3 linked regions of the Canis lupus familiaris genome follow. The protein of the gene in region 1 purifies or fractionates together with the protein of each later gene. This does not show direct contact. Links are inferred from orthologs where the notes say so. Each region holds a gene or a part of one and is shown on either strand. Other genes may lie near its edges. The genes, in order: VSX1, WDR20 and USP12.

Region 1 (9,953 bases):
CTGCCTGTGGAGTGCAGCTTTCAAAGGTGCCTTGTTTGGTATTGTAGTGATTTTTTAAATGTAATTGCTGCCAATGTTTTAAAATCAGGAGATCGCACATCAAAAGCCAGACTTTCAGCTTGTTTGAAAGTAAAAATGTCTGGCAGCACTGGGCCACAGGTCTGCAGGTACCAGTAAGCACAGATATCTCACACCTAACCTGCGTGTGGAAGTTCAGAAGGGTAGGCTTGGTTCCCTGCCCAAAATTCTGTCTCTTCAGTCTCTGAGGGCAAAGTCAAGACCATATCCATAATTGGTATCTCTAGTGACTGCACAGCAAATGGCTGGTAGGTTCTTAAAAATGTCTGCTAAACAAAAAACCTCCCCTCACCAACCTACAAGCCCACTCACACACACACACACACACACACACACACACACACACACACCTAACTCTAATCTCTCACCCTACCCCAGGTGCTATCTTGGACTCATTCCTCCAAGATGTGATCCCTGCCCATTAGTCTCTAGTAACAGCAAACAGAAAATCCAGAATGTCCAGCCCCAAAGCTTAAGCCTCACCCATGTAGACTGTTCTAGCACCAAAAGTCTAAAAGACAGAAAAGTAGGTTGTTAATGGCAGAACCAGGACCCAAACCCTGGATCTCCTGGCTCTAGTATGTAGGGGGTTAATCACCTACAAGTTTCACTGCTTAGCACTGTCCTCATTCTTATTATCATGAGCTCTAAATCATATGGTTCCCAAAAGTTGTAACCACACTCAACATTTTGGAAATATATTTCACATATTACAAGTATATCATTCCACTCTTAGAACCAAGGCCTGGTGTGATCTTTCCACACACTGTCTACACAGTGCAAATAAAAAACAAGTCAACTGACCATAGTTCAATCCTTTGAATTAATTAAAATCAATGTGATATTTTGGGCCCAAATCTGAGTAAATTTATATTGATTGGATTTAGCAAATGGCTGCCCTTCATGGGAACCCTGGCCCCTCCCCCAGCAACTCTGGCCATTTTACTGGCTGCAGGGTCCTCTTCCTTACCCAAGAGCCAGGGTGCACAGGAACCAATCAGGCCACCCTCAGTGGAGTTAAGGACGGAGTCTGGCAGTGGGATGCAGTGTCGCACCATGGCCCCATAAAGCCCATACTCGGCCATCACGCTGCTGCCACCCCAGCGCTTCTCCCGCTTCCGCCACTTGGCCCTCCGGTTTTGAAACCAGACCTGATGTGAGGCAGGACAGGAAGCAGAAGAGTATACAGGAGGAGACACAGTAAAGAGGAAGCTCCTAGGTGTTCCTGAGCAAGGAGTTCTAAGAACAGCCAACTATCCATTCAAGTCCCAGACCTTACAGAAGCTGTGTCTACCAGTCACTCAAAACCCACAGGTACTTATCATTGTGAAGATAATGTGCAATCGGCCTCCACTGAGGTTTTCCATACAGCCAGAAAAAACAAAAATAAAATCAAAGTATTCTTTCCCACATTGTGTAAGAAAGTGGACTACTATGCTTCATGATTTTTCTCATTGATTGGAAAGAGTTCATACTGGCATTGGTCCCTTGTAATCTTAGGTTGTTGGTTTGTTAGTAATATTTCTCTTTGAAAATACTATCTTAATAAAGAAATAATGTGGAATATTGATTAGCTGTTAAAAAAGAGTTGGTGGGGGATCCCTGGGTGGCGTAGTGGTTTAGCACCTGCCTTTGGCCCAGGGCGCGATCCTGGAGACCCGGGATCGAATCCCACGTCGGGGTCCCGGTGCATGGAGCCTGCTTCTCCCTCTGCCTATGTCTCTGCCTCTCTCTCTCTCTCTCTCTGTGTGTGTGTGTATGACTATCATAAATTTAAAAAAAAAAAAGAGTTGGTGGCATTATCTTTTGACCTGGAGAAATGTCCAAGATGTCTTGTCAAGCAAAGAGGCTAAGAAGCATAACACAATACCTTCTTGTAAAAACAAAGAACAAAATTCTGTGTCAGTGTACATATATCTATAGATATATAGATTAGATATAGATATAGATATAGATATAGATATAGATAGATATAAACATATTCAGGGCCAATTATATATGACATGGAGATGGTTACAACTTTAAAGAATTAATTAACAAAGGAAAAAAGACATGCAGGGTACAGGGGATATCTTCTTGGAATAAACATACAGAATGAGTCTAGCATTTGTGGTACCCTCAGCTAGGTGAGCTGCAGTTCGTGTGTCAAGGGAAACATGCTAGGCTGTTCAGAGGTAGCTGTGTATATGTGAAAAAAACACGTTCTCTGTGATGTCTTTGGGATAGAGAAAGGGGACCCCAGACACCTGTATTCGGTCTTCAGGGAGCTCAGTTTTCACGGCCAGCATTTCCCGGGCATACACATCAGGGTAGTGGGCCTCGCTGAATGCCTTCTCCAGCTCTTCCAGCTGGTGGGCAGTGAAAACAGTCCTGTAGGGAGACCCGAAGCACACACATGAGTGCATGTCCACAGGAGGCTGCCAGGCTTCCCAGACTTAGAAGACCCTGTGCCTGCCTTTCTACACCCTAAAAGTCCACCTCATGGTAACTGGATATCTCACCTCTGAATGATTAGCCTCTGGAAAGTCCAGAAGTTTGCTTCAAACAAAACAGAGTTCTTTAGCATATTTTCCCTCCTTGATGAATTCTATCAACTAATACTAAGAAGGTCTATTTTAAAGGTACACAAACCTGTGTCTCTAAAATGCTAGAAATAAAATTAAATTAAATTAAACTAAAAAATAAAATGCTAGAAAGATTATCCTGTAGCCTCCTGTGAATAGCAGAATTATGTTCCCAAATTGCTGCTGTGTGTCAGCCAGGAGGCCACAGGGCCTTGCCTTAATGCAGCACCATAGGTTCTCAGAGTCTGTGTCTTAAGCAAAGGGTCAGGAAAGACAATCTAGCTGTATACCTATGCCGCCGCTTCTTCCTCTTGCCTGAAGATGGGGACGCCTTCAGGCCACTCCTATCTTCAGATGGGCTGTCCTCATCTGTTAGCACAGGGGAGAGAGAACACTTTAAAGGTGACCACATTATCTTTTATTTTTTAAAAAACTATTTTTAAAGGTGAGCATATTTTTCAGGGCACCTGGGTGGCACAGTCAGCTGAGCCCCTGATTCTTGGTTTCACCTCAGGTCATGATCCAAGGGTTGTGAGATCGAGCCCCATGTTGGGCTCTTCAGTCAATGTGGAGTCTGCCTGATATTCTCTCTCCCTCTCTTGCTTGTGTTCTTTCTCTCAAGTAAATAAGTAAATCTTTTTTAAAAGTGAGCAGAGTTTTCACTTTCTTCTCTGGATTTCAATATGAGGACTGAAGTTATGATGTGTTGGGGGATGTGACTATTTAATAATACATGCTAGCATTTTTAGCACTCAGTATATTCCAGGCATTCTGCTTAGCATTGTCCATGCATTATTGCAGTTATCCTTCATAAAATAAAAAGAACTCCACAGTAGCTGCTAGTATTATCCTATTTTTACAGATGAGGAAGCTAAGGTGCAGAGGGATTAAGTAACTTGCCCAAGATCACACAGGTTGTACGTGGTGAGGTTGGGATCCACACCTAGATTCCGTGAAGCTTCATAGCATTCTCTATCTCACTTAGCTTCCAGCTCCCAAATTCATTCACCTCCTTCTACCTGCAACCCCTCATCTTAACCAATACACCAACATTTCTCTAAGCAGGGTGGGAGTTGAGGTTTGACATCACAACTCTTGCCAGAACTGCACTCCCTGCCCGGCTGTACCAATTCTGAGTCTCTGGGAGGGGATCCAGGAAACTCACTCTTGACAAGATCTAGTCATATTTTGCCTTTCATTTTATCAGTGCTCACAGAGGAAGGAACCCATCCTATGAGGGCAGTTTCTGCATTTTTAGTGAAATTACTAATAGAAGGGTTCATTTTCTCTTACACAGAGACTCCTGAATAAACATTTTTTAAAGTAGAGTAAAAGTTTGCTTGCCTGCTGATCTGACATGCTTACTTTTACTATCAGTGGAGACTCAATATACTCTCTTTTTGCCTTGGCTGCCTGGATGCTCAGCTCCAGGTTCTACAATATAGTTTCTCAGTCCACGTTTTCTTGTATAATTCTTTTTCTTTCATCCACGAGCCCAAAACCTCTCAATTTCTTTGACTTTGCTCTTTGCAAAGTCTTCATGGCCTCCTTCTCTTTCCCCATAACCCGCCTCGACGTCTTTGAGGAAATAGCTGGGGTCGGAACGAAATGCTGAGCACAGCGCAATGAGACGGGCGAGGCTGCTTCCCCTCTCACGTGTGCGGAGGAGGGAGGGCAGCGCGAAGTGGAAGCGCAGTCCCGACTCCCCCTTCAGCACCCCAGAAGGCGGACAGTTCCAGCCCCCGGCCGCCCGTGCTTTTCCATCTGTGGATCCAGCCTGGCTCTGAGCGCCGCGAGTTCCTGGATGCTGTGCTCGTGAGAAACGAGCACGCCCCGGCCTCCCCGACCTATGCCCTCAGGAGACCCGCTTGGTAGGTCCAGAACTGGGGGGTGGTGATATTCGCTGTGCTCCGGTGAACCCGGAGGGGAGGCAGGGATTTGGGGAGAGACAAGGGGCAGGGAGCAAGGCCGAGAGAACACGCCTCCCTGGACGGGGCCACGCTCTGGGGTCCTGACGTCCCTTAGATCCGGATGCTAGGGACCGGGCTCAGTGAGTTACCCGTACACGGCCCCAAGCCGAGCAAACAGGAGCAAGACCCAGATGGGCTGGCCTGATTACCGGACGTCAAGACGCTCTCGCTTCTCTTCTGGCTGCTGAGCGTGGCGGGCGGGCGACCTGGAGCTTGCGGGGCAGCAGATTCGGGCGCCCCGGGTGGCAGGAACGGCCCGTCGGCTAGGAGCAGGCAGGGCGCCCGAGCGGCCGCAGGAGGCTGCGCGCCGAAGCCGCAGAGAAGGCCGAGCCCCAGTGGCAGGGCCCCGCGCACCAGGCAGGCGCCCCCGAGACCTGGGCCCGCGCAGGGCGCGGCGGAGGCTTCGCAACCCGATCCTGCACCGGGGCCGGCAGGCGCAGGCACCTCAGCCTCCAGGCCCAGCAGGTCGGTGATGGCGAAGCCGCGGGGGCGCGAGCCGCTGGGGGAGCCGCCGGGCACTAGTGCCCTGCTCCCGGGGCGCCCGTCGGAAAGCGCGGCCCTGTAGGTCATGACTTCTCAGTCGGCGAGGCCGGACCTTCTCTAGGTCACGTTTGCCGAGTGGCGCAGCTCAGAGGATGCTTTATACTCCTGGACCGGCCGTCGGGCGCGGAGGCCAGGAGGGCTCCAATCAGTGGGGCTCGGATGCTGCGAGATGGGGACGCCACCCGTTTCCCTCCCCCAAGTCGCCGCCCTCCCAGCTGCAGTCCCCTCAATCACCTCCTTCTCTCTCCCATCCAGCTGTCCTCCTGCCCACTCCCCAGCCACCCTCCCCCCGACACACACACCCTTCTCGAAGAGAGGAAAGGAGGAAGGGGACGACCCTGCTGTCTGCAGGTTTCTCTAAAAGCCGCATATTACAGGCCGAGGTGTGGTCTTCCTTATCCTTCCAGATTGTCTAGAAGAAGTCCTGATCACAGCTGCTCCAGAGCCTCCTCCCAAGATCCAGTTACCCATTAAGCCTCCTGGCACCTGGCTGGTTCAATCAAGGGAGCATGCAACTCTTGATCTTCAGTCCTCAGTTCATCCCCAGGTGGGGTGTGGACATTCCTTAAACAAATAAAACTTTAAAAATATATTTTTTTAAAAGGACTAGGACCTCGTTCCCAGCCACACTACCACTAATGTGAGACAGGCCAGCCCTCCAACTCCACCCCCAGAGCCAAGACTTCCCTGAAAATCTCCAAGGGGAATGGAGTGGAAAATGTTTATTTAATCCATTCCCACTCTACCTGCAGCCAAAGTCACCCCCAGCTCCCTAACGGCTGAGCTGTAATGGGTGCAAAACTCACAAGAGCTGGGGGGAGGAGAAGAGGAGAGAAAGACAGATGTATAGTGGACCAGGCTAAGACTACCGGGAAGAGTGCTTGGCTTAGTAAACAAAAGTACTGGAGGTCCAGTGAAATTTGAATTTCAGATAAACAATGAATATATTTTTAGTATAAGAATGTATCAATATTTCATTTGGCAATTTTAAATCGGGTGGGAGTAAATTGGAACATAAGAACTGCCTACTGGGAGGCACCCCTATTCACGGAAGCAAATTACTGTCAGATTTTATGATTATTCAGAGAAAACCCGATTTTCCTGTGAAACTCCCTAATTTGTTAAAGTTGGCGCCAAACAAAGCACATGAGTAAACCACTCCTGGCTCAGGCTCACACGCCGGAATTTTTGAGTCCACTCAACCCGAATCGCTGGAAAACCTGAGCCCACCCTTCCCAAACAGAATCCTGGAAATAGAATCTCCTCAGTCCCTCCCCTTGAACCGGGCGGCCTGAGGTCACCTAGCGAGGGAGGTGGCAACTCCCAGCCCACCTGGACTCTGCTTGGCTCCCTGCGCGCGCTGGAGAGGAGCGCGAGCGCGGAAAAGTGGGTCTCCGGCTCGCTGCACCTTTGCGTGGGTCCTCAGTTAAACATGCAGATTACAAGAGGGGCTTCCGATAAAGATAATTGCGGCAGGCTGCGCATTAACTTTCCATTATTTTTTTTAATTTTTATTTATTTATGATACTCACACAGAGAGAGAGAGAGAGAGAGAGAGAGAGAGAGAGAGGCAGAGACATAGGCAGAGGGAGAAGCAGGCTCCATGCACCGGGAGCCGACGTGGGATTCGATCCCCGGTCTCCAGGATCGCGCCCTGGGCCAAAGGCAGGCGCCAAACTGCTGCGCCACCCAGGGATCCCCTTAACTTTCCATTATTAAAGGAGGACCCAACTCTCCCCTCCCAACACAAGCTGTTTCTGGTATTAGCAAAACAATACGTTTCCTTTGGGATAATTGTCATTTGAATCGCTCGGGGTAGGGGGCGGTTTTACATGCCTGCGTCTTTTTTGGCTCCGCCGGGGATTTCTCCCCAAATCCATCTCTGGGTTTGAAGGAGGTATTGGTGGTCCAGGACCCAGCCAAGGTGCTCTAGCTCTCTGTCCCGCAGAATAGTCGTTTGTAATTAAGAATTTGGGACCACAGTTTAGAAAGACACCTAACGATCCACACATTTTGCAGACCAAGTCCGGGGTAGACAGGCGGGACCATCTGCCCGAGCAGGGTCACTCGCAAGGAGAAGGTCGCACGGAAGCTGGAGGCTGCAGTGGCCGCGTCCCCTCGCCTACGCTAGGATCCTGAAGTCTCCGTCCCCTACCGCTGCCAGGGGAGGCAGGTGATCCCGAGAGGACCGGCCTCAAGTGGGTGGCCTGGAATCCGGAGGAACCAAAAGGCCAGGCGGGAGGAGCCCCACTTCGGTCACTCCGCACGGGGACCGCCGCACAGAGCCAAGAGCACACTGGTTAACAACCGCTTCGGAAGGATCTTACAAAAAATCTCTTTTGCAGATGTGAAAAACTGGGGCTTATTCCCCCCGGTCACACCAGACACGGATGGAGAAACCGGGAAAGCGAAGCTGAAAGAAAGCAGAGGGGGCCGGAATTGGAGCTCCAAGGGGAGCTTGCAATTCCTGCTCCGGAGCGTCCCTAACGCCTCCTCCGCTCCACCTGCAGGCAGGAAGGGGCCTGCGGGACCGGGTTGGACAGATGGATGGAACCAGGCCGTCCTCCTTTTTGCGGAGTGGCAGTGGCGGGAGCGCAGCGCCCGAGCACACTCGCACTGTCTCCTCCCCAACAGCGCCTCGGGCCCCACTGCCTGGTCCCCACTCCCACGCCCAGCTGCGGCGGCGGACTCGACCTGCAGACCTGCGCCGGAGCTCTGAGGAACCGGCCCCGAGGCCGGGCACCGGGGATGGGAAAGCCGCCCAGCGAGCGGGACTGGCCGCCCAGTGCGGAGAGCGCGTCCCTAGTCTAGGAGACTGGAAAAGGTCCCCGCGCCGGCCCTCACCCTGCGAGTCCCCGACGCCCGACAGGCGGGTCTACGCGTGGGCGCAAGCGGTGGGAGGACGCCTCGGCGCGGGGCGGGGTGGACGGGAGGCTCCTCCCAGGCCCCGCCCCCTGCAAGCCCTCCGAGCCCCGGGTCACCCCCGGGAGTGGTCCCGGAACCCTAAATCTGTGAAGGGGTCCGGATATGTCTTCATCAGCCGGGATTATCCGGGATTTAACTAATCAGTAAGGATTTCTGCGCTCATTATTTTCCAGGGAAGGTCTCCCGCCCGGGTGGAGGGCCAAGCTGGAAGGTGCGCCCCCTTTCCCCTGGCCTCCTGCGCTTGCGGCTCCACTCAGCGCCCTGCTGGCACCCGACAGCGTGTGAGTGGCTCCACCGAGACGTGCCGTGGCTTTGAGGAGGCGCCCGGCCAGGCTGGCAGAGGAACGGGCACGGGTGAATAAAATGTGGCTCATGTGAGCGCGCGAACAGCCCTGTGGGTCTCTTCCTCCTCTGATTTTCTTCCTGCCTCTCTGGCTGCTCCTTCTCTGTTGCTTTTGTGTCCCCCCCCCCCCCCACTTTAAAGGCTGCGTAGACACTGTCCTGCCCTGTCCACTATCTCGTGCCCTGCCTGACTATTCTGTCTGCAGACCTGCCCAACCTCCAGTGCCAAATCACCCACGTCTTTGCCTGGGACCTTTCTTTGGTCTCCAGAGGCCACTTTGTCCACTAACCCGAGATGCCAAGGATTAAAACGCCATAAGAAGCTCTGGACCACCTAGGGTCAAATAACTCAAGCGTGCATTCTATTCTGCTTCCCAAGGTCCCCAGCAGGGATACTTGCTAATTATCATATCCCAAATTGCTTTCTTTCTAGGTGCTATGGGTGCCCCACCCAGACTCCCACTCTTGGGCCCTGGCACCTCCCTCCAGCTGCTGTGAATGTAGGCTAACAGCTTATCATTGCTCATAATGAGAATTGCCCTCTGCTGACAAAAGCCTTAACCTACCCCCCACCCCCATCCACAATGCTTGACAGACTTACAGTAGATGTGATACAAGACTACCACTTGCCTCCCCAGGGACAATTCTGCAGAGCCATTTCCGCTCCAAACCTCTTTCTGCTGAAGGATCAGGTCAAGGCTCAGCTGGACCTATGAGCACACTCTTGCCCAGCTCCCTCCCTCTTCTCTGACTTTCCTAGTTCCTGAGACTTCTTTAGCCCTTTCCCCAGTAAAGCTCGTACATCCACACTCACTCTTCAGCTCTGCTTCTAGGGACCTATTCCCACCTCACTTCCCCACTTTCCCTTCAGTTTTGCCCTAAAGCATCTCCCAGATAAATGATAAAAAGGAGGCCCCAGGGGATCCCTGGGTGATACAGCGGTTTAGCGCCTGCCTTTGGCCCAGGGCGCAATCCTGGAGACCCGGGATCAAATCCCACGTCAGGCTCCGGGTGCATGGAGCCTGCTTCTCCCTCTGCCTGTGTCTCTGCCTCTCTCTCTCTCTCTCTCTCTGTGTGTGACTATCATAAATAATAATTTAAAAAAATCAGGGATCCCTGGGTGGCACAGCGGTTTAGTGCCTGCCTTTGGCCCAGGGCGCGATCCTGGGGATCCAGGATCGAATCCCACGTCTGGCTTCCGGTGCATGGAGCCTGCTTCTCCCTCTGCCTGTGTCTCTGCCTCTCTCTCTCTCTCTCTGTGACTATCATAAATAAATAAAAGTTTAAAAAATAATAATAATTTTAAAAAATCAGAAAAGCTAATCTTTGAAAAAAAAAAAAAAAAAGGAGGCCCCAGCAATATGTGTTTGCAAGCTCTCCAGGGGACTTTACTGCCCCTTCAAGTTTGAGAATTAGGGTCTTCTAGTGATGTCTCATGAACCACATGTCCTTTGTTTAACAAATATGTTCTGAGCATACAAACCCCCACTTACTCCCCCATGCTCTGAGGAGCTATGGAGAATGCTCAAGT
Region 2 (9,818 bases), on another chromosome or scaffold:
TCTAGCTCACCCCCCCCCCCCCCAATGAATTACTCAGTCACCAACAGGTGGTCCTGAAGTCTTTGAGAAAGAGACAGACTACCTCCACATAGAACACTCATTCTCTCCCAAGTCAACCCATTGCACTCCTGGATAAACTCTGGCTCTGAAAATATTTTAGCTGTTATTATATGACTCTTCTTCTCGCCCCAGCTTCATGTCAACATAGTGAGTACAAAGCTTTTTCTAGTATAAAGACCTAGAATCACAAGTTCTACTTGCTTTCACAACACACCCCACTCCTCAATTCCCATTGAGTAGGCAATGAATACAAGACAGGAAGACATCTTCCCAATAGAAAGATGGATTTATTTTCATTAAAAAACTTGAGCACAGACTCCCACAACCTTAAGAGTTGAAAAGGCCTTGGAAGCCATCTAATTCTACGCCCCTTCTTCCTCCCCCCTGCCCCCACCATTGTAGGAATTGCTCCAATAACATCTCTGGGCAACACATTTCTGTCCCAGAATCTTAAGATGGGAGAGGAAAAAAAAAAAGTAGCCTCTTTGATTTGAATGTTAAGTAATTCTGCGTATAGTTTTTAAAAGTTGTCTATTAGAGGGATCCCTGGGTGGCGCAGCGGTTTGGCGCCTGCCTTTGGCCCAGGGCGCGATCCTGGAGACCTGGGATCGAATCCCACGTCGGGCTCCCGGTGCATGGAGCCTGCTTCTCCCTCTGCCTGTGTCTCTGCCTCCCTCTCTCTCTCTCTGTGTGACTATCATAAATAAATAAAAATTTAAAAAAAAATGAATAAATAAAAGTTGTCTATTAGAACACAGATTTGAGGGCAGCCTCCATGGCTCAGCAGTTTAGCACCACATTCAGCCCAGGACATGGTCTGGAGACCCAGGATCGAGTCCCTGCGTGGAGCCTGCTTCTCCCTCTACCTGTGTCTCTACCTCTCTCTGTGTGTCTCTCATGAATAAATATATAAAATCATTAAAAAATAAAAATAAATTAAAAACCCCATAAATTTTGATAGGTAATATGTTGTGACAGAAATAGATTAAAAGTAACGTGTCATTTGGTTACTTTCCATTACTTCATGGTCTCTTGCTACACAATTTCCCAGTTGTAAGAAAGCTAAATTTGTTACCTACTAACAATAATTTTAAAATGTCTTTACAAATGGGACGCCTGGGTGGCTCAGTGGTTGAGCAGCTGCCTTTGGCTCAGGGCATAATCCCTGTCCCAGGATCGAGTCCCACATGTGGCTCCCTGCATGGAGCCTGTTTCTCCCTCTGTCTGTGTTGCGTCTCTGCCACTCTCTCTGTGTCTCTAATAAATAAATAAAATATTTAAAAAGCAAAATGTCTTTACAAAGATGTGAGCCACTAAAAATATCCATTATTTGGGAGACCAAAATTAAATAGGTTATTTGGCTTGAAGAGATCTTTTTAAAAGTATGGCATATGGGGTGCCTAGGTGGCTCAGTCCATTAAGCTTTCACTCTTGATCTCAATTCAGGTCTTGATCTCAGGGTTGTGAGTTGAAGCTCTGCGATGAGCTCCATGCCCAGCATGGAGCCTACTTTAATTAATTAATTAATTAATTAATTAAGAGTATGGTATAGATGGACACTGATGCTTTACCCATTCATTCACCCAACAAATAAATAGTAAGGGCCTACCTCATGCCAGACACTCTGCTGGGTGCTAGGAAAACAGTGAAAGCAGAAAACACATGGTCTCTCTTCTAAGCAATCTTTGTTTATAGAAGAGACAGATTATCACCCAGAGAATTACAAATTGAGAAATGTGCTAGAAAGGCAAAGTTCAGGATGTTATGAGAATATGAAGGAAAGTTGATCTAGCCTGGGAATTCAAAGCAGGATATGCTATGGAAGTGACATTTAAGCTGAGATCTGAATGGTGGCCATTCACATTTATATAAAAACATCTCATAAAATGAAAGCACTGGTCCAATAAACCCAGCTACCTTTGGCATCTTTATCCCAAAACAACCTTTTTTTTAAAAAAAGGAAGGCCAAGTATTCTATAAGAAGGTTTAAAGGCTAAGAATTGATAAGTTCTTTGGAGAGAGGGATAGGGTCATACTCTACTGTAGATACCCCACCTTGTATAATTATTAGCATTATAGTCACTCAAATATTTGCTGAAATGATTAACATATTAAATCAATGCTCATATGGGACCCATGGGTGCCTCAGCAGTTGGGTGTCTGCCTTCAGCCCAGGTCGTAATCCCAGGAACTGGGATCAGGTCCCATATCAGGTTCCCCGTGAGGAGCCTGCTTCTCTCTCTATGTCTCTGCCTCTCTCTCTCTCTCTCATGAATAAATAAATAAATCTTTTAAAATAAATAAATACTCAGATTATCTTCAGGTAAGCAAAATAAATTCACAAAACTACATGTCCTTACACAAGTAACTCCATCCCAAACTTCAACTGTGAAAAGAAGATGCTTTCTTGTACCTCACAGGAATGCTATCAAGATTCGATGAGATAATAAATGGCAAAATGCTGGGGCAGATCTTGAAATGCTTGGAGGATATGGCATCCGTGCGATCAAAAAGCTTGATCAGTCCCTTCTCACTATGACAGCTCTTTAGATTCAGTTGTGCTTCATTTTCCTGACCATGAGAAGAAAAAAAAAAAAAAAAAAACTGTAACACAGGTTACTCCTTCTCTAGCCTTGGTTTTCTGGAAAAGGGTGAAACTGCAAAACTCAAAAGTCCCCTCTAGCTCTAGAAACGGACTTGCACATCTTTTTAAAGGGCCAAGAATACACTCCTTGACTCACATTTGAGACTACCTCCTCATTCACTCCACTCCCTCCATGACTCCATACTTCCCTTCAGGAATGGCAGCACATAGTTCATGACTTAAGTTTTTCAGGTCGCCTGGGTGGCTCAGGGGTTGAGCGTTTGCGTTTGGCTCAGGGCATGATCCTGGAGTTTCAGGATCGAGTCCCACATCAGGCTCCCTTCAGGAAGCCTGCTTCTCCCTCAGCCTGAGTCTGTCTGTCTCTCTCTCTCTCTCTGTCTCTCATGAATAAATGAATAAAATCTTACAAAAATAATAAAAATAAAAATAAATGACTTAAGTTTTTCAAAGACTTACTTTTCACTTATTTTACATTTAAATTGAATGTATGCATCCATATTAGACCTTCTGAATAATCCAAATGATTGTTGTAAAACTCTGTATGCCCCAATGAAAAAAAAAAACTAATAAAAACAGTCAAAATGACCAACTGTCAAGAAGAGAGTTATAACTCCTAACCTCAAAAAGTAAATTTCGGTTTCCTGAGTAAGAAAAACTATCTGCTCTATTTTAAAATCAAAAAAGACAGTCTTAAAAACAAGCACTTATACTCAAAAATAACAATAAATACATGCAAACTCTTTCATGGAAAACAATTTTTCTAAAAGAATTACAATGGCTAGAAGAGAACTAAAATGTCCACCATACAATGCTATGTCACTGCATGTAAATGAAATTTTACCAAAAAAAAGTTAGCACCCAAATAAATTATACAGCTAAAAAGAAATCTACATATTTAAGATTTGTCTTGTTTAAAATAATTTTGGAGTGTGGTTCTGAAAAGCTCTCCTTGTTTTAACCTTCGTCAAATAGCATCCCACTACGAGAACACAACTATGATACTTCCAAGCAAGAGATCTGTTTTATGATGCAAACCAAGGCGACCAGGTCCAGATAAGGTCTGCCACTAGAGAATGCCTCAGAAATAACACACTTTCAAAGAAAACTTTCTTATAAAAAAGGTAACGTCGAAACTAGTAACTGTTGGTAAATTTAGCTATTCAGCACGTTTAAAATCTTATACAAGTGTTAGTAACTTAAAATTCTAAACTTATTTCCAGAGAAAAAGTTGATCCTTTCAGTCCTCGTATAAATGGCAGGATAGCAGCTTCCCGTGTGACAGTTACTCTTAATGCTTATTTTAACTGTATTTTACACCTACCAAATATTTCAGGCTTTAAAGTTCATTACAGCTATTATATTAAAAATTACAACGTGAGTACTGCAATGTTCACTTTTTAAAGAGGAGCAGATTGGAATTAAAGAAACTCATCCAAAGTCACCCAACAAGTCAGCAAAAAAGTTGAGAGCAGTACTAAAACTTCAGCTCCTGGACTACTAACTACTTCACACTTTCCCAGTTCCAAAAGAGAGAGAGAGAGAAAAAAAAAAAAAAAAAAGAACTGAAGGGAATTACTTTCAGTAATAACACCATGTCTCAATCACAGTAGAAGGCTTATCATGAACACTCACCAAAAAAAAAAAAAGATGCACCTTGAACAAATGAGACCGCTTGCTACCTCTGGATACTACTGTCCCGTCCTAGTTCTTGAAACCAAGCAAAAACTTACTGCATCTGGATAGATTACATCCTAGAGAATGTTCGCTCTTCAATACGGGCAATGTGCTTTCGCACTAACAACAACAACAAAAAAAACACTTGTAAATGAACGTTGCCACCTTTCTCCAGGCTTAGGTACTGTGGGGACACATCAATTCCAAGTCAAAGACCACCTCTCAAAAGTAAGCAGTACTCAAGGAGAACAGAGTTACACAGCCAATAAAGGAAAAGCTCTAATAAGTTGCTTCTTTCGAAGAGATATTTTTAAAGGATGATTACATGCTTCACAGAATTAATGTTAAGTCGCCCGCCAAGGGGAAAAAAAAAAAAAAAAAAAAAGGATTCTTGTAAAGTAGCTTTTAAGGCATATCCCTCCCTCTTTTGGGACACAGTCTGACTTGTTGGACAAGAATGATCCGGGCACGCTGACACAGAACCCCTATGAACCTAGCTTAGATCACTGAAAACATCACTTCGACCTGCCAACTATAAGTCTTTTCCGTTCTGTAAGGGCCAAAATGACCCCTCTTAATCTCTCCGGAGAAGGTTCTCCGGCAGAGAAAAGTGACAGCCAGTCCTCCTTCCGAGGTTTCTGGGGAAAGTGTCAACAGCAGAGAGAGAGGCTCCTAGGAAGTGTCAGTGCGGTAGCAGGTGGAGTAGCCCCCGGTGCCGAGCAGGTCCCTCCTGACCTAGTCTCCAGTCCTCCGCTTCCAGCCGGGATTCCGCCTTGCAGACCTTCCCCAGCCGCCCGGCGCCCCCGTTCCCACCCCGCAGCGAGGCTCCCAACTCTCCCGGGAGGCCAGGCAGTCTAGGCAGACGCGACGGCCACCCCACCTCTTCCGGGGACTCGCAGGCCCGCTCCCTGGCCGTGTCGGAGCCCGACGGACCCTGCGAGGGGGAAGGCAGCCGGCGCCCGGTCGGGCCTCCCGGACCCAGCCCCGCACCCCGCGGGCCCCTCCCACCGCCCCCACCCCCTGGCAGCACCACCGTCCTTACTCGCGAATCCCCCTTCCCCCGGAGCACCCCAGCGGAGTTACCGGCCCACTCCGAAGTGCGAGCGACCGCCGCCCCTACCGGTCACCCCGGCCCCCACTGTCACCACCCTGCTCGCGGCCCCCGCCCACGCCGCTGGCGAGCCCCGGTGACGCCCGGGTCGGTACCTTGCGGACCCCCTTGTAGATATAGAAGTAGAGCTCCCGGCCCACATTGAAGCAGAGGCGGTCGCCGTTGCCGGACTGGTCGTTGAGGTTTACGAAGGAGACGCGGACGGGGTTGGATCCCTGCGAGTTGAAGGGCACCCGGTTGGGCCGGCTGTACTCCGAGTGCGGCAGCAGCTTGTACAGACCTTCCCGAGTGGTGAATTGGGTCTTAATCTCGTTCATCTCCTTCCCTCCTCCCTCCGTCGCCATCTTGGAAAGCAGCGTTCATCCTGCCCTAAGTGCCCGGATCACGCCCACCGCGCAGGCGCCGTCCCTTCCCCCCGCCCCCCGCCTCTCCCTCGTGGCCCCGCCCACCCGCGAGGCGGCCCCGCGGAGGCCGGCCGAGGGGCAGGGGCGGGCTTGTTTACGGCCGCACTGCGCAGGCGCGCTCACCTGGCGCGCCCGGCGCGGCTGGGCGTCCGCAGGCCCCGCCCCCGGGCGCGGCCTCGGGGCGGCCCCCGGGCGGTGCAGGTGAGGCGGTAGGCCGCCGCCTCCGCCGTCTCCGCCGCCTCCGCCCCCGCCGCGGCTGCCTCCGCCGCCGCCGCCTCCCCGCCACCCGCCCCGCCGGTGAGCAGACGCCGCGGCGGGGCTGCGGTCGCGAGCGCAGAGGTGACCTGGAGCGGCCGGCGCAGCCCGGAGGAGCGGAGGGAGAGGGCCGCGCCCCCGTACGCGGTGGGCACGTGGGGAGCCCCGGCGTCCTGCCTCGGGGCACGGCGGGGGCTCCCCGAAGCTGGGGGCCGCTGCCCCGCGCCAGCCCGCACGACGCTCGGGGACCCCTCCGCGCCTCCCCGAGCCACTTTCCGAGAAGGTACCGAGGGCCCTGAGCGCCCCGCGTCCCGGCGGCGGGGGGGCGGGGGCAAGGGGCGGGAGCGCCCTGGACGTGGGTGCACACGTGGGTCCTGGCGCGTGTCTCTGCAGGTCGGCTCTCCGGCGGCCTGTCGGGCGAAGTAGGTTGTGCTGGCGCTTCCGCTGCTTCAGTGTGTCCTCTCCAGGTGTTTGGAGCAAAGAGGGAGCGTCGGGTCGGGCAGCGGCTTTCGGAACCAGAGACCCAGGGGAAGCCCGAGGCTCTATTCTCATGCGCAGTAGCTTGACAATTAGAGGCCACTGGTGAAAAAGAAAAAAATTAAAAACCAGCTCAAGTGGGACCTGCCAGATTGCTACGCAGAGTTGTGTGCATACGCTATGCTAGATGTAGATGTGGAAGGACAGGCGCCCGGGTCGAGGATTAGACAGTCACTATCTTACAGCTGGGTTTCCTTGGCAGGTTGCACATAAAGTTTCTAAAGCGACAGAAATTTCCTGGGAGAATTACAGGGTGGAGGAAGCCGACGTTTGTTACACCGAGAATGAACTATGTCTTTATTGAAATTAAAAAAAAAAAAAGAGGTTATTTATTTATTTGTGAGAGACGCAGAGACACAGGCAGAGGGAGAAGCAGGCTTCCTGCAGGGAGCCCCGACGTGGGACCCGATCCGATCCCGGGTCTCCAGGATCAGGCCCTGAGCTGAAGGCAGGCGCTAAACTGCTGGGCCACCCGGGGTGCCTCCCGCTTTTTAAGATTTTATATATTTATTCATGAGAAAGACAGAGAGAGAGAGAGAGAGAGGCAGAGGGAGAAGCAGGCTCCATGCAGGGAGCCCAATGTGGGACTCGATCCCGGTACTCCAGGACCACACCCTGGACTGAAGGCAGGTGCTAAACCACTGAGCCACCCGCCTGCCCTGAACTATTTCTTTAAATTCAAATCATAGCTGGAGGGTCGCAAAATTAGTAGATGGAGGTAGAGGAGTCCTGAATCACAAACATCTTATGTATTACAAGGCAAGTAGGTACTGCCAATGATGTAACAATGCCTTTGACACCAACATCCTGTATCCGTTGTTCGTGTTGGCAAAAAAAAAAAAAACACTAGAGCAAAGTCCTATTTAATTAATAGACCCCTAAAATAGCTACAGTTTGTGGTTGTAATTGTTTTTATGTTCTCTGCCTTTCTCTAAAAGTCAAATAGATATCAAAAGTCTTAAAATTGCCAGGATGTGTGCTGCAGTCACCACAGATTTATTCCAATTTCCTAAGTTATTTTACATTGAAAATACATATTTATAATGAGACCCTTGAGGGATAGTGACGTCTGGAATCCTCTAAAAATAATTCAGGTGTGGGCACCTGAGTGGCTCAGTTGGTTAAGTGTCTGCCTTCCGCTCAGGTCATGATTTCAGGGATCCTGGGATGGAGCCCTTTCTTGGGTTCCTTGCTGAGCTGGGAGTCAGCTTCTCCCTCTCCCACCCTTATCCCCACTCTTGCTCTCGCTCATGTCTTTCTCTCAAATAAATAAAATCGAAAAAATAATAATTCAGCTGTGTTCCCTAGTTATCAAGAGGGGGAATAAAGCATACTTTTTTGAAGAAAAGAAAAAGCTCAGCAAGCAAAAATTAATACAAATTTTATTAGCCTTCAATTAACCATAATTAACGACAATTAATAATACCTCAGGTTTTCTGTTAAGGTTTTATTCTATGTAAGTTCAACATATTATCACAATAATAGGCTGTCCCTTTTGTCCTATTCAGAGCTTTTCAATAATATCTTTTTTTTTTTTAAGATTTTTTTATTTATTCATGAGAGACAGAGAGAGGTAGAGACACAGGCTGAGGAAGAAGCAGGCTCCCTCCAGGGAGCTCCATGTGGTACTCGATCCTGGAACTCCAGGATCACGCCCTGAGGCAGAGGCAGACGCTCAACCACTGAGCCACCCAGGCGTCCCAATAATGTCTATTCTTAATATGTTTTTCTCTCGTTCCCACACACACTCTCAAGGATTCAATAATAACACCCAAATTTATATAACAGGACCTGACCTAAAAACAGTTCATTTCTAATTTTCTCTGTCAAGCCAGGCGTTTCTGAATGGGTTGGTGCCTCACAGTCATCCATCTCTAAACCTGATCGTTTCCTTTCCATTCTCAAACTTGAATCCTTATGTAATGGCTTCATGAATGATTTCCTTGATTTTAGTTTTTCTCTCAACTTTCCTCCTGTAAACATCTACCAAATTAATTTTTTAAGCAGTACCTTAGATATTATATTCTCTTACCCCAAGACTCTCAATGACTTGCAATAATCATATTAAATTAGCAATTCACAGCCTATTCTTACATATTACATAAATCCCCCATTCAAGTCAAACTGTACTCCCATCACCCTTAGTTCCTTCTCTGGCGTAGAAAGCTATTCCTTTCCTTTCCTCTTTTTTTTTTTTAAGATTGATTTATTTATTCATGATAGATATAGAGAGAGAAAGAGAGAGGCAGAGACACAGGAGGAGGGGGAAGCAGGCTCCACACCGGGAGCCCGACGTGGGACTGAATCCCTGGACTCCAGGATCGCGCCCTGGGCCAAAGGCAGGCGCCAAACCGCTAAGCCACCCAGGGATCCCCTCTTTCCTTTCCGCTTTATCATACCCTGTTCTTTAAGAACTAGCTAAGTCTCATCATCTTCATGAAGCCTTTCCAACCCTAAAAACCATACTTGAAACCAAAGATTGTCTATTCAGCATTATGGCTGGCTTCATGGAGTGCTTGAAGTCCTAGTAATTGTATTAAACTTTTATGTACGTGTTCATTATATCATTGGAGTGTGTAGTTTTCATCAGATTTTCAAGAGTCCAGCACCCAACTGAACCACCCCGGCACCCCCCCCCCCATATTAATAATTACCTCTCTAAGCTTTTTTTTTTTTTAAAGATTGTATTTATTTGAGAGAGAAAGCAAGAGAGTACTCATGAGCAGGGGAGGGAGGGAGAGGGAGAAGCAGACTCCCCACTGAACAGGGAGCCCTATGTGAGTCTCCGTCCCAGAACTCTGGGACCAGGACCTGGGCCGAAGGCAGATCCATAACCCACTGAGCCTCCCAGGGCCCCCAGATGTTTAAACTTCTGTGGTACTTTCCTGAATTTTTTAAAGATTTTCTTTATTTATTCATGAGAGACACAGAAAGAATGGTAGAGACACAGGCAGAGGGAGAAGCAGGCTCCATGCAGGGAGCCTGAAGTAGGACTCAATCTGGGGTCTCCAGGATCATGCCCTGGGCTGAAGGCAGTGCTAAACCGCCAAGCCACCAGGGCTGCCCACTTTCCTGAGTTTTCATTTGTCACATGTAATATCCTAAAAAATTATCTTCTTTTGGTATTTGTCAGCTCATGCTAATTATCTTGTGTTGATATTTAAGTTTCAGT
Region 3 (9,824 bases), on another chromosome or scaffold:
TCATAATAACTAGGCACAGAGATCAGAAACTACATTTCTACCTACCAAATGAGTCTCTGGAAGGGATAAAGACAAAGCTTCCTCTAATGGTCTCTTATTAACTTCACTCCCTCCCGCTTCTCTTGGGTTTTACTAAATCTCAGTCAGCTTCAGGGAGAAGCACAAATACTACCCTATTAATTTGGATTGATCCATGGGGAGTAATAAAAATAAAACCTTCTTAGAAATCTTTTTTTTTTTTTTAACACAATTGGCACTGGTATCCTGAAAGTGATATATCAGAGGAAAAAAAATAACGTAACAGCAGGAAAAAATAGACTTTTAGAACTCATTTTATAATAAGATTTTCTCTAGCATGTTGTTTTAGTTGTTCTGAAGGTCAAACAACAACCTTCAATATATAAAATACTCCAGTGCTGAAGAAAATGGACTCTTCTGAGACACTATCAACGAGCACACCCTTCCTACAATTCAAGACACACATTAGCTTTAGAGCATGAACCAAAGTAAGGGTGGGAGTCACAGGGAAGTAGTTTATGAGAGTGAAGCAGCTGGGGTTTGGCCACTGCCAGAAGTTACACAAGGCTTCTGATCACTAGACAACTGGGTACGTAAGTATAAACATTTTAAATATCTGAGGTAGAGGTCAGATCATGTTAAGCAAGGGAAATTAAAGATATTCAATTAACTCCCCTTCTCCCCACAAAACACCAATGATAGTGAAAGAATAAATTAAGCAAAAATTAAAAGGCAAAAAAAATGGGGGGTAGGGGTAGAGGAGTACACCTAAAAAACACAGGTATGGCTGTCAAGCCTTTAAAAGGGTCATTTAGACACCTAGATATGTAACCTTTCTTTCAACCACAGGTTTAGTTTCCCAGAAGCTGCACCTGCAAGGGAGAGTGTGATTCAAGAGCCCTTGAGGACAGCATCAAGGCATGGAACAGAGAACAGAGGGCTCAACAAAACTCTGAACCAAGCCACCCCAAGACTGAAACTGAAGAAGCCTACCCTCTTCCCCCACTTCTGGCACCAAGTAACAGTCCCAGAGGAGATGCTCCCGCCACTGCTTTTGGAGGGTGGTGGGGGAGGAGGTGAAACTATTACTAAAGCCTGCTGCCAAGGACATGGAAAAATAAAGCAATGGTTAATTCCATACCGGGAGAATGGGCAGGGATGGTGGTAGGAGAGAGTTTCTTACCTACCATAACAGGAAGTTAGGAGACTGTTTTTAATAGCAGCATAGCCACTTTATTTAGAATGTAGGGGTAGATTCCAGGAAAAATAGCCAGCAGAGGAATGCAGCCTCCTCTGAGGAGGGGCACTGTGGATTCTGTTACAAGCTTCATACTCCCAAGCTGACTTCCAGGGCAAGGGGAAACACCCATATCACTTAAACCACTTTCCTCAAATCGCACAAGAAATCCATCTCATACGTCACAATCTCATACGTCGCAAGTAACACACTGGTGTGTTCAATGGAACTTAGTCACCTGTATTATCACCTCTCTATATGTGGTTTAAAACCCTCACCATGGATCTACCTAACAGCACAGTACAACATAGATCTATGGTGTGCACCAATGATTCAGAAAAGAGTTAAAAATTCTAAAGAAAGTTCTTTCAAAGTTTAAATGATGTATAATTACTAGAACTACCTCCACAAGGACTGGGGATGTATCTTTTTCCTAAATTTTGCACTCATATATCTATACTAGTTGAACAATGCCAGAAGTGGATAAATACAGACACATAAAGGCATTTATAAAAGTTTATTTATTATACTTGTACATTCGGATCACTTACATTTAGACATTTACAGAATTCTCAAAGATTTAGGAGATCATTTGGTACAAGCCATACAAAATTTTGGCTATGAAAAATTCTAACACAAAATAGGAAAAATCAGGCTGTCAGGTCAGAAACTGTTCTAAAGCTCTTAAGACCTCAGGCAACTTTGTTTCCCTTCCATTGAAAAGAGAATTTCAAAACAAGTTTCTTGACATTAAGTCTACTGATACAAATACACAATACTCTTAAAAACTCTTTCCAGTGATACTGGTGAAGGCTAAATACCAATTGATACTTACATTGACTAATCCAAAATAGTGCTCATTGACTGGAAACTGTTCTGGACCAATCTCTTTCTCTAATGCCGAGGCATTGGCGCCCTATAAAATAAAATAAAAAATAAAAAAAAAACAAATTTTAGTATTTGTAGTGTTTCCATAAAATTTTCAGTTACATAGGCATTATAGAGACATCCTTTAAAAAACTGTTTCCTCTAACTCCCTAACATTACTGAAAGAAAAAAAAAAAAGGATGACAGTGAAGAACAAAGGATTTTTTTTTTAAGATTTTATTTATTCATGAGAGAGAGAGAGAGACAGACAGACAGACACACAGGCAGAGGGAGAAGCAGGCTCCATGCAGGGAGCCTGACATGGGACTCGATCCCGATCCAGGTCTCCAGGATCACACCCCGGGGCTGAAGGCGGCGCTAAACCACTGGGCCACTTGGGCTGCCCAAGAACAAAGGATTTTAATAATATGACTAAAAACTAGTTCACAAGAATTTCCTCAGGAAACCAAAGCATGGATGGAGAAATTATATCTATAATGTGTTACTTTTTTCCTAGGTAATGGATTAAAACTGCTGCTGCATCATGTACTGTAACAGGAGAGCTGAAACCAAGAATGTAGATATTCAGTGACCAAACAATTCTCTGGAGGTATATGCCTGAAAAATCCCCATATGGAACCCAACGTGCCAAGAATGTTGTGTGAGGTAGCACTGACGACTGCATGGCTGACAACCATCTAGAGAGTCTGTGTTTTATACACAACAACATACTATGCAGAGTCAGCATAATGGAATTAAATTTACATACAAAAGCATGACTACTTCTCAAAAACATGTTAAAAAAAAAAGAAAAAAATGAGATTAACCACATATGTTAAAAAAAAAAGCACACGGCAAATGGGCTGAAGAATGTACATTAAGCATACTTGAGTGCATGCTGAAAGAGGCCTGGGACATGAAACTGCGAGTGAAGGACAAAAAAGGAAAAAACTAAAATGAAGCCGAACGAAAGAAGGGCCTTGCCCAGAAAACAAATCGTGTGTCCTGGTCTCGGGAATACAATTGACTCAACTCTCTGCACTGAGGTTTGAAAATAAAGTGAAGGCTGGGGGCAGGCGTGAGGGTGGGGTGCCCCCATGCACTGGCACATGACACTAAATGGTCTCTAAACACAGCTAGAAAGGAAAATGACACAACTCTGAAAACATGAGAATTCTAGATGTGTTTACTTGAAAATTCCCAAGAAAACATATCACCAGATACATAAAACTGATATGGTATTACTCACAACATACCTCAAAACCACTCTGCAGAGTTATACACAAGACAACACGCACACTATGCCTCTCCAAGTCACCGACATGAGGTTCATACCACCTCCGTGCTCAGCCCACTCCTGTTGTTTCCTGACTGAGCTCCACTCCTGGACTTGGGAAGCCCAACCTTTGTTAGACAACATATCCTCAATTTCCTGATTATAAGTACTGATTAAAGGGACCTGGTGGATTGGTGGCCCAATTCTACCAAAACAAGATATTTCCTCTAATGTCCTCCAGCCATCCAGCATGTGTATATAAACATGATACTGCCTTTATTTTTAATTTCAGACTTATTTTAGGTTTTTTACAAAACCTTGATATAACTGCTAATATTTATACCTAATTTGGCCTTCCGCCGTTTTATACCAACATCAAATTCAATTATTAGAGTGACTTCAAGATCTACTGGAGAAATCTGTCTTGGTGGGAACATGGCAAGCCCCACTTCCCATCCCTGCCACCTCAAGTTATCATGTCACAAAATTTTCTCCCATACATTGAAAGGTATCAATGAACTCCAATGTTTACCACCTACTATAAGGATTCAAACAGATATTAGTTTATTCAAATAAGTATTACCCCTTCCCCACAACAGGGAAGAGGATGAGGGAGGGAATGGGGGAGGAGGAAGAGAAAGAAAATACAACCTTATTACATCTATTTATGTGGAACAGTAAGATTCCAATACACATAACTCAGGAAAGTATTTCTGGCTTTTAGGATGAACAGAGTAACATGTGAATATTCTCTCTCTAGTATAATACCAAACATACCACAGACCATGTATTCTGTCCATCCCAGAGGACCCAATTAGCCCCCTATACATCATATACTTTCATGCACTGCTTAGATCCTCTAGCTGCCCTGCATCCTCAAGGTAATTTGACTATGGATCAAATTATTAGCTTCTCTGCACCTCAGTTTCCTAACTGTAAAAGGAAAATATCACCAAATACTCCATAGGATAGGTACAAATGAATGGAATGAATGGAATTTAAACCTCTGTAAAAGCATCTGGCACTGCCTGTTACATAAGCTAAACAGGTGTCCCATGAATGTTGGTTCCCTTCTCAAAAGTCTGAAGGAGAAATGAGATAGCCATCACCAAAAAAACTGATCTCCTCACTCTGGGCAATTCCACCAAGCGGCCCAGTACAGTCAAGTCACTGTACTCCCCAAAAGGCTAACAATAAAGCGAAACCACAATCCAATCAGAGGTGTGGGAAGACTTCACTCTGAAGTGTGATAAAATGGAAACTGCCACAAACCCTATTCATTTAACCCTTCTGATTTAAGAAGCTTCATTTGCAAAATAAAAGGGTCAATCTCCTCACTGATTTTCAAAAACCCAAGCTCCAAGTTTATGTGTTGGGTTTTCAAGTAATCCTTTGCCTAAATTAAGGTTTTCACAGTTACGTATGTTTAGAAAATTAAGACTCGGTAATTTTTGAAGTCTCTTCTAATTCAACATTTTAACATTACCAATCACTTTCACCAATATTTCTGAGGACATTTACTATATAACACAAAACTCCATGGAAGTCCAAATCAAACAATTAATGCCCAAAACACAATTCAACAGGGAGAGATTATAGCAATAGATGGAGTAAGGATAGCAGCTCCAAACAGAAAGTACAAAGAGAGAATGGAATTTACTTTAGGACCATTCTAAATTAAAGTACAGCATAGTAACATATACCTTACCATGATAATGATGCTGTATAGCAGACTCTGTGAATGTGCAGGAGGATATTTCCTATGGCATGAATTCAAGATTTTCAGCAGAAACAATCGAAGTGCATCTCTACTTCTGGCTGAATGCGAACTACAAAGGCAAAGAGCAACTACGGAATTCAGTTTCTGATGACTGGTTTTCAACGCTAGAGTTAGATATAGCTGGGGAAAAACAGCCATCAAGCCAAAAGTTGGCTGTATAATTTTTAGTATCTTTACAAGAGTTCTCAATGTCATCCCTTGAAGATTTGGTTGAAGGCTGACAAACTCTATCATGTCAAATAAGGGACAACCAAGCACTCTTCAAATTTAAATTGACCCCAATATCCGATAGTAATGGCTCTGAACAATTCTCCATCTCTACACTTGAGAAATATGATCCTACTACAATTAACAGGGGTTATTAAATCAGTGATTTTTTTACCAGGATAAAGGAAAGAAATGGTGGCATGCTCAGGTAAGAATTTCTGCTCCAAAGCTTTGATAGGTATCAGAATTCAACTGTGTTGTAGGAGTATGTGACACAGGGAGAAGGAAGAAGACACTCTTTTTTAATTGTTCTGTCTCTATTTTTATAACTTACACAAAAGATTATTTAGACTCAGTATCTATTACTAGAGAATTCATCTTAAAGAAGCAATTAGGTATTCATGACTCTCTTGATGAAAACAAGATGGATGAATTTTAATATTAAAAAAATAGTAATTGATGGAGCTAGTGAGAAAATGAGGAATCTGCAGAAAACAAAAACCAAAATGATGGGAGCACACTGGGAGATATGGCAATGCCAAAGAGGTTTCATTTCACACTGAGGGTATTTGTCAACATGAGTGACCTTTACACTCTTTTCTGGCAGCTGAATGAAATGGAGTGCAGGGAACGAAAACAAGACGAAAGGAAGGCCAACAGAAGACCTGAGCTTGAAAAAAGACCTGGATCTTCATGTCAGGGTGAGCAAGAAATAATCCTGTACCACAGAGGAGGCAGCAAGGAAACATGCCTGACATGTCCTTGGCACTGAGGATGGAGGATAGCTTCCAAAAATTCATAACCCCAAGTTGACCCTCATGAAAAACTATAACCCAAATCCACGCAAGCTGTATCATCCTAAACAAAACCGCCCAAGCAGATAATGTAATTCAAAGAGACCCTGAGTTGATGGTGCCCTCTTTACCCCACAACTAGCAGAATTACAAACTAGCTCTGGAAGTTGAAATTAATCCACCCCACCAAAAATTCCCACAAATAAAACTCCAACAGATTTGAGTTCACAATCAAAACTCATATACACACACACACACAAAACAATAGGAAAATAAAGCACTATGAATAAAAGCCAGCAGAAGACGACAGTAGAATTGGACTCTCAAGATATTAAATATCAGAATTATTTAAGACACAATATAAAACAAATGTGCTGGAATCCCTGGATGGCTCAGCGGTTTAGCACCTGCCTTCGGCCCAGGGTGTGATCCTGGAGTCCCGGGATCGAGTCCCACATCGGGCTCCCTACATGGAGCCTGCTTCTCCCTCTGCCTGTGTCTTTGCCTCTCTCTCTCTGCGTCTCTCATGAATAAATAAATAAAATCTTTTAACAACAACAACAAAAAACAAATGTGCCAAGAAACAACAATTGCTTGATCATAAGAACAAAGAGAAGACTCTAAAGCCTAAGCAGATTTTTAAAAAGAACCAAATCAAACTTCTAAATATAAACATTATAATAATTGAAACTAAAAACTCAATGATAACTATGGAAGGCAGTAACAAAAATTAGAAGCTGGGAAGAAGTAGGGATGAAAGAGCAAAGCACAGAGGATTTTTAGGGCAGTGACAATATTCTCTAAAATACTAAAATGATTGTTCAGAATGTATACCGACAGTAAACAATAACACAAACTATGGACTTTAGGTGATCATGATGTTTCAAGGTAGTTCATCAGTTACGACAAATATACCAGTCTGGTGGGGGATGCTGATAATAAGGGAAGCTATTTATGCACACGTAGGGGCAGGGCTATACAGGAAATCGCTGCACTACCTCTCAAAAAAGAGTCTTAGTAAGATAAATTAATTGAGTCAGAAAAAAGAAAAAACTCAATGGCTGTGCCTAAGAAACAAGATTCATAGTGGGTAATACTTAATAAGTATATACAACCCTGAGATCAAGACCTGAGCTCAGATCAAGAGTTGGACGCTTAACTGACTGAGCCACCCAGGCACCCCTAGGTAGTATTTTTTAGTCAATATAATGCTAGTAATTCAAACTGACATTTTATTAAAAATAGGAAATGTTTTACGGAAAATATTTCATGGAAGAATGAGTCAGTTGTGGAGCTGCTGTAGTGAGACCACGGTACACTATTATGGCACTGACCTAGCAAAGCTACAGACGTAAGTCTGGTCCTGGCCTTGCCACTAACTAGGTGTAACAACTTGAGGCAAAATGCATCTCTCTCTGGACCTCGGTTATCTCGGATGTAAGACCTCAAAATCTATAGTACTTCCCATCCCCACATGTCTAGTAATGTGTGAATCTATTGGTTCTTGTGATCTCATTAAGACATTAAGGAAAAACAGGTGGATAATCTATTAAAGGTCAAACATTAAATTCTGAATAAAAGGACATATTATCACATCCTCAGAAACACTCATCCAATCCAAGAATTTGCAAGCCATGAAGTGCCTCCTTAAACCTACCTACTATGAATTCTTAGAAAGTACAGCAACTTTCTTTTTCATGACAAAAAAATAACCATCCAAGTGAAAGAAGAGTAACCTGAAACTATAAGGATGCCTTTGATCTATCATTTTGAAGATACCATCTGCAAACAGGAAAAAAAGAAAATAACCCAGGGGAAGGCTGCTTCTGATTAAATCATTTTATATGGTCAATCATGGAAGCCATGCCTGACAGCCCTCCATTCTGCCTTTATGAGGAAGACAGACAACGCAATACATTTGAGCAAGAATAAAACATGGTAAATTGTAAAAGGATGAATATCTACTACCTAGAAAATATACTTATCAAGAATGTCTTTTTATACTAGACAACTGTAGTGAACTATTAGTTCCCAGACTTGTTTAAAACAAATATGATAAAATACATTTTTCCCCACTCTCATATTTCAAATCATATCTACAATCCAGTGTTTACCATTCCAAGTGTAACACTGAAGGGTCACACCAGGTCAGTACCCAAAGGAGAACTGCCAAAACAGGCAGGAAAGGCTTCCCGAAAAGGAGACAATCAAGTGACCTTGGGAAACTAAGAAAGTTCTGGAGGAACAGGAAGAGCCCATGTGAGGATATGAACACAAGAGAGACGAAGGGTATCTGAGCAGTGAAAGGATGAATTCAAAGTACAGAAAATACAAGAAGCATGAATCTTAAACAAGAGAATGAAGAACAGGAAGGCTGGAAGCCCACACCTGCTCTCCTGGCAGACAGCATGTCCCTGAAACTGCATCAGAGACAACAAAAATGTGTATAAAAAATCATTCCTACAGGCATCATAAAAATCATCTCAAAGCAGTAGTCCTTTATAAAAGGTGAAATTCACCAACATTCTGAATACCTACCTTCTACCTAACCCTGCACAAAAAGTTATAGAACATGACTGCCAAATTGTAATACCCACTTAGTGGATAGTGAGATTAATGTGGTGGATTTAACCATTTGCTTTTTAAGTAAAACAGAAAAGATCATGGTATGTCTCCTTACAAGTAAACAACAGTTTGCAAAACTTTCGTTCCAATAATTAAGTATGTGTGTATTAGGTCTAACTGCAAAATCTATTTTCATTGTAAGTTTAAATCAAAAAAGTTTTGATATATACAATGCTACCAAAGATTTAAAGGGGTAAAACAAAATTGCAAAGTCATAATCCAATTGGGAAGTAAAAATTGGTTTTTCATGATGACATACACGTAGAAAACTATTATAAATAAATTGAAAGTTACAGAGGAGAAAGTAAATGTCAAACTATGCTAGTATATTGCACATACTATAGGATATTAGGACAGGAACAACTATGAGAGCTGAGGAATTTGGGAAAGCCTTCATAAACAGATGCAACTAAAAAAGCAGTCTTGAATTTTTCTTCAGAGCTATTTCATTATAGCTTTACATGCTGGTAAAATGAGAGCCCTTAACCACTCCAACTGTGGGCTACACAGTGGACAGAGTAATGGACTGTAATTAGGAAGCCTGTGTTCCTGTTCTGGTTCTAATAGGAGTTAACCACAGTGTCATCTTCCAAAATCACTCCACCTTGCTTTTCTCATCAGCACTGTAAGAGAGACCAGACTTATCTGGTCTATCCCAAATTTAAAACACTGTAATTCTAAGATAGCAACAACATAGAGTCACAATCAAAGTGTGAACTTAGAACAAAATATTTCACCCCTTCATGCTCCAATTTCCAAATCTGCAAAATAAGGCAGGCAATATCCTTATGGCCTGTTTCTAAAAACTGTATAGAAGATTTAGAACAATGTCTGGCAGAGTAGGCACTAAACAAATAGTTCTTTTACCCCTTCTTACTCCCACCTTCAGATCAACACCCCCAAAAGACTGAAATTGTCAAAGTAACTAAGAAAGTATTTGGAGGTTCCGCACTGATATACAGTCATTCTAAGAATCTTGGTCTAGGACTGCTAAGTAACCTCTGGTTTTAATTCGGCCAT

Evidence for each region.
Region 2: the proteins of VSX1 (region 1) and WDR20 purify together in Homo sapiens (affinity purification with mass spectrometry; 3 studies listed by BioGRID and IntAct, with this or other methods). This does not show direct contact. The link is inferred for Canis lupus familiaris from reciprocal best matches to the Homo sapiens genes VSX1 and WDR20.
Region 3: the proteins of VSX1 (region 1) and USP12 purify together in Homo sapiens (affinity purification with mass spectrometry; 3 studies listed by BioGRID and IntAct, counting the BioPlex papers as one, with this or other methods). This does not show direct contact. The link is inferred for Canis lupus familiaris from reciprocal best matches to the Homo sapiens genes VSX1 and USP12.

Annotation. Positions count from the first base shown.
Region 1 is NC_049244.1:1,440,564-1,450,516, forward strand, and holds the start of VSX1 (visual system homeobox 1), read right to left. Parts: upstream 5,183-9,953; coding exon 4,762-5,182; intron 3,012-4,761; coding exon 2,933-3,011; intron 2,449-2,932; coding exon 2,325-2,448; intron 1,230-2,324; coding exon 1,049-1,229; intron 1-1,048. UniProt on the Homo sapiens protein: Binds to the 37-bp core of the locus control region (LCR) of the red/green visual pigment gene cluster. May regulate the activity of the LCR and the cone opsin genes at earlier stages of development. Dispensable in early retinal development.
Region 2 is NC_049229.1:70,550,839-70,560,656, reverse strand, and holds the start of WDR20 (WD repeat-containing protein 20), read right to left. Parts: upstream 5,864-9,818; 5' UTR 5,795-5,863; coding exon 5,546-5,794; intron 5,402-5,545; exon of another isoform or gene 5,382-5,401; intron 5,240-5,381; exon of another isoform or gene 5,220-5,239; intron 2,632-5,219; coding exon of another isoform or gene 2,443-2,631; exon of another isoform or gene 2,421-2,442; intron 1-2,420. UniProt on the Homo sapiens protein: Regulator of deubiquitinating complexes. Activates deubiquitinating activity of complexes containing USP12. Anchors at the base of the ubiquitin-contacting loop of USP12 and remotely modulates the catalytic center of the enzyme.
Region 3 is NC_049246.1:12,491,490-12,501,313, reverse strand, and holds the start of USP12 (ubiquitin carboxyl-terminal hydrolase 12), read right to left. Parts: upstream 5,332-9,824; 5' UTR 5,317-5,331; coding exon 5,107-5,316; intron 2,172-5,106; coding exon 2,091-2,171; intron 1-2,090. UniProt on the Homo sapiens protein: Deubiquitinating enzyme that plays various roles in the regulation of the immune response and inflammation.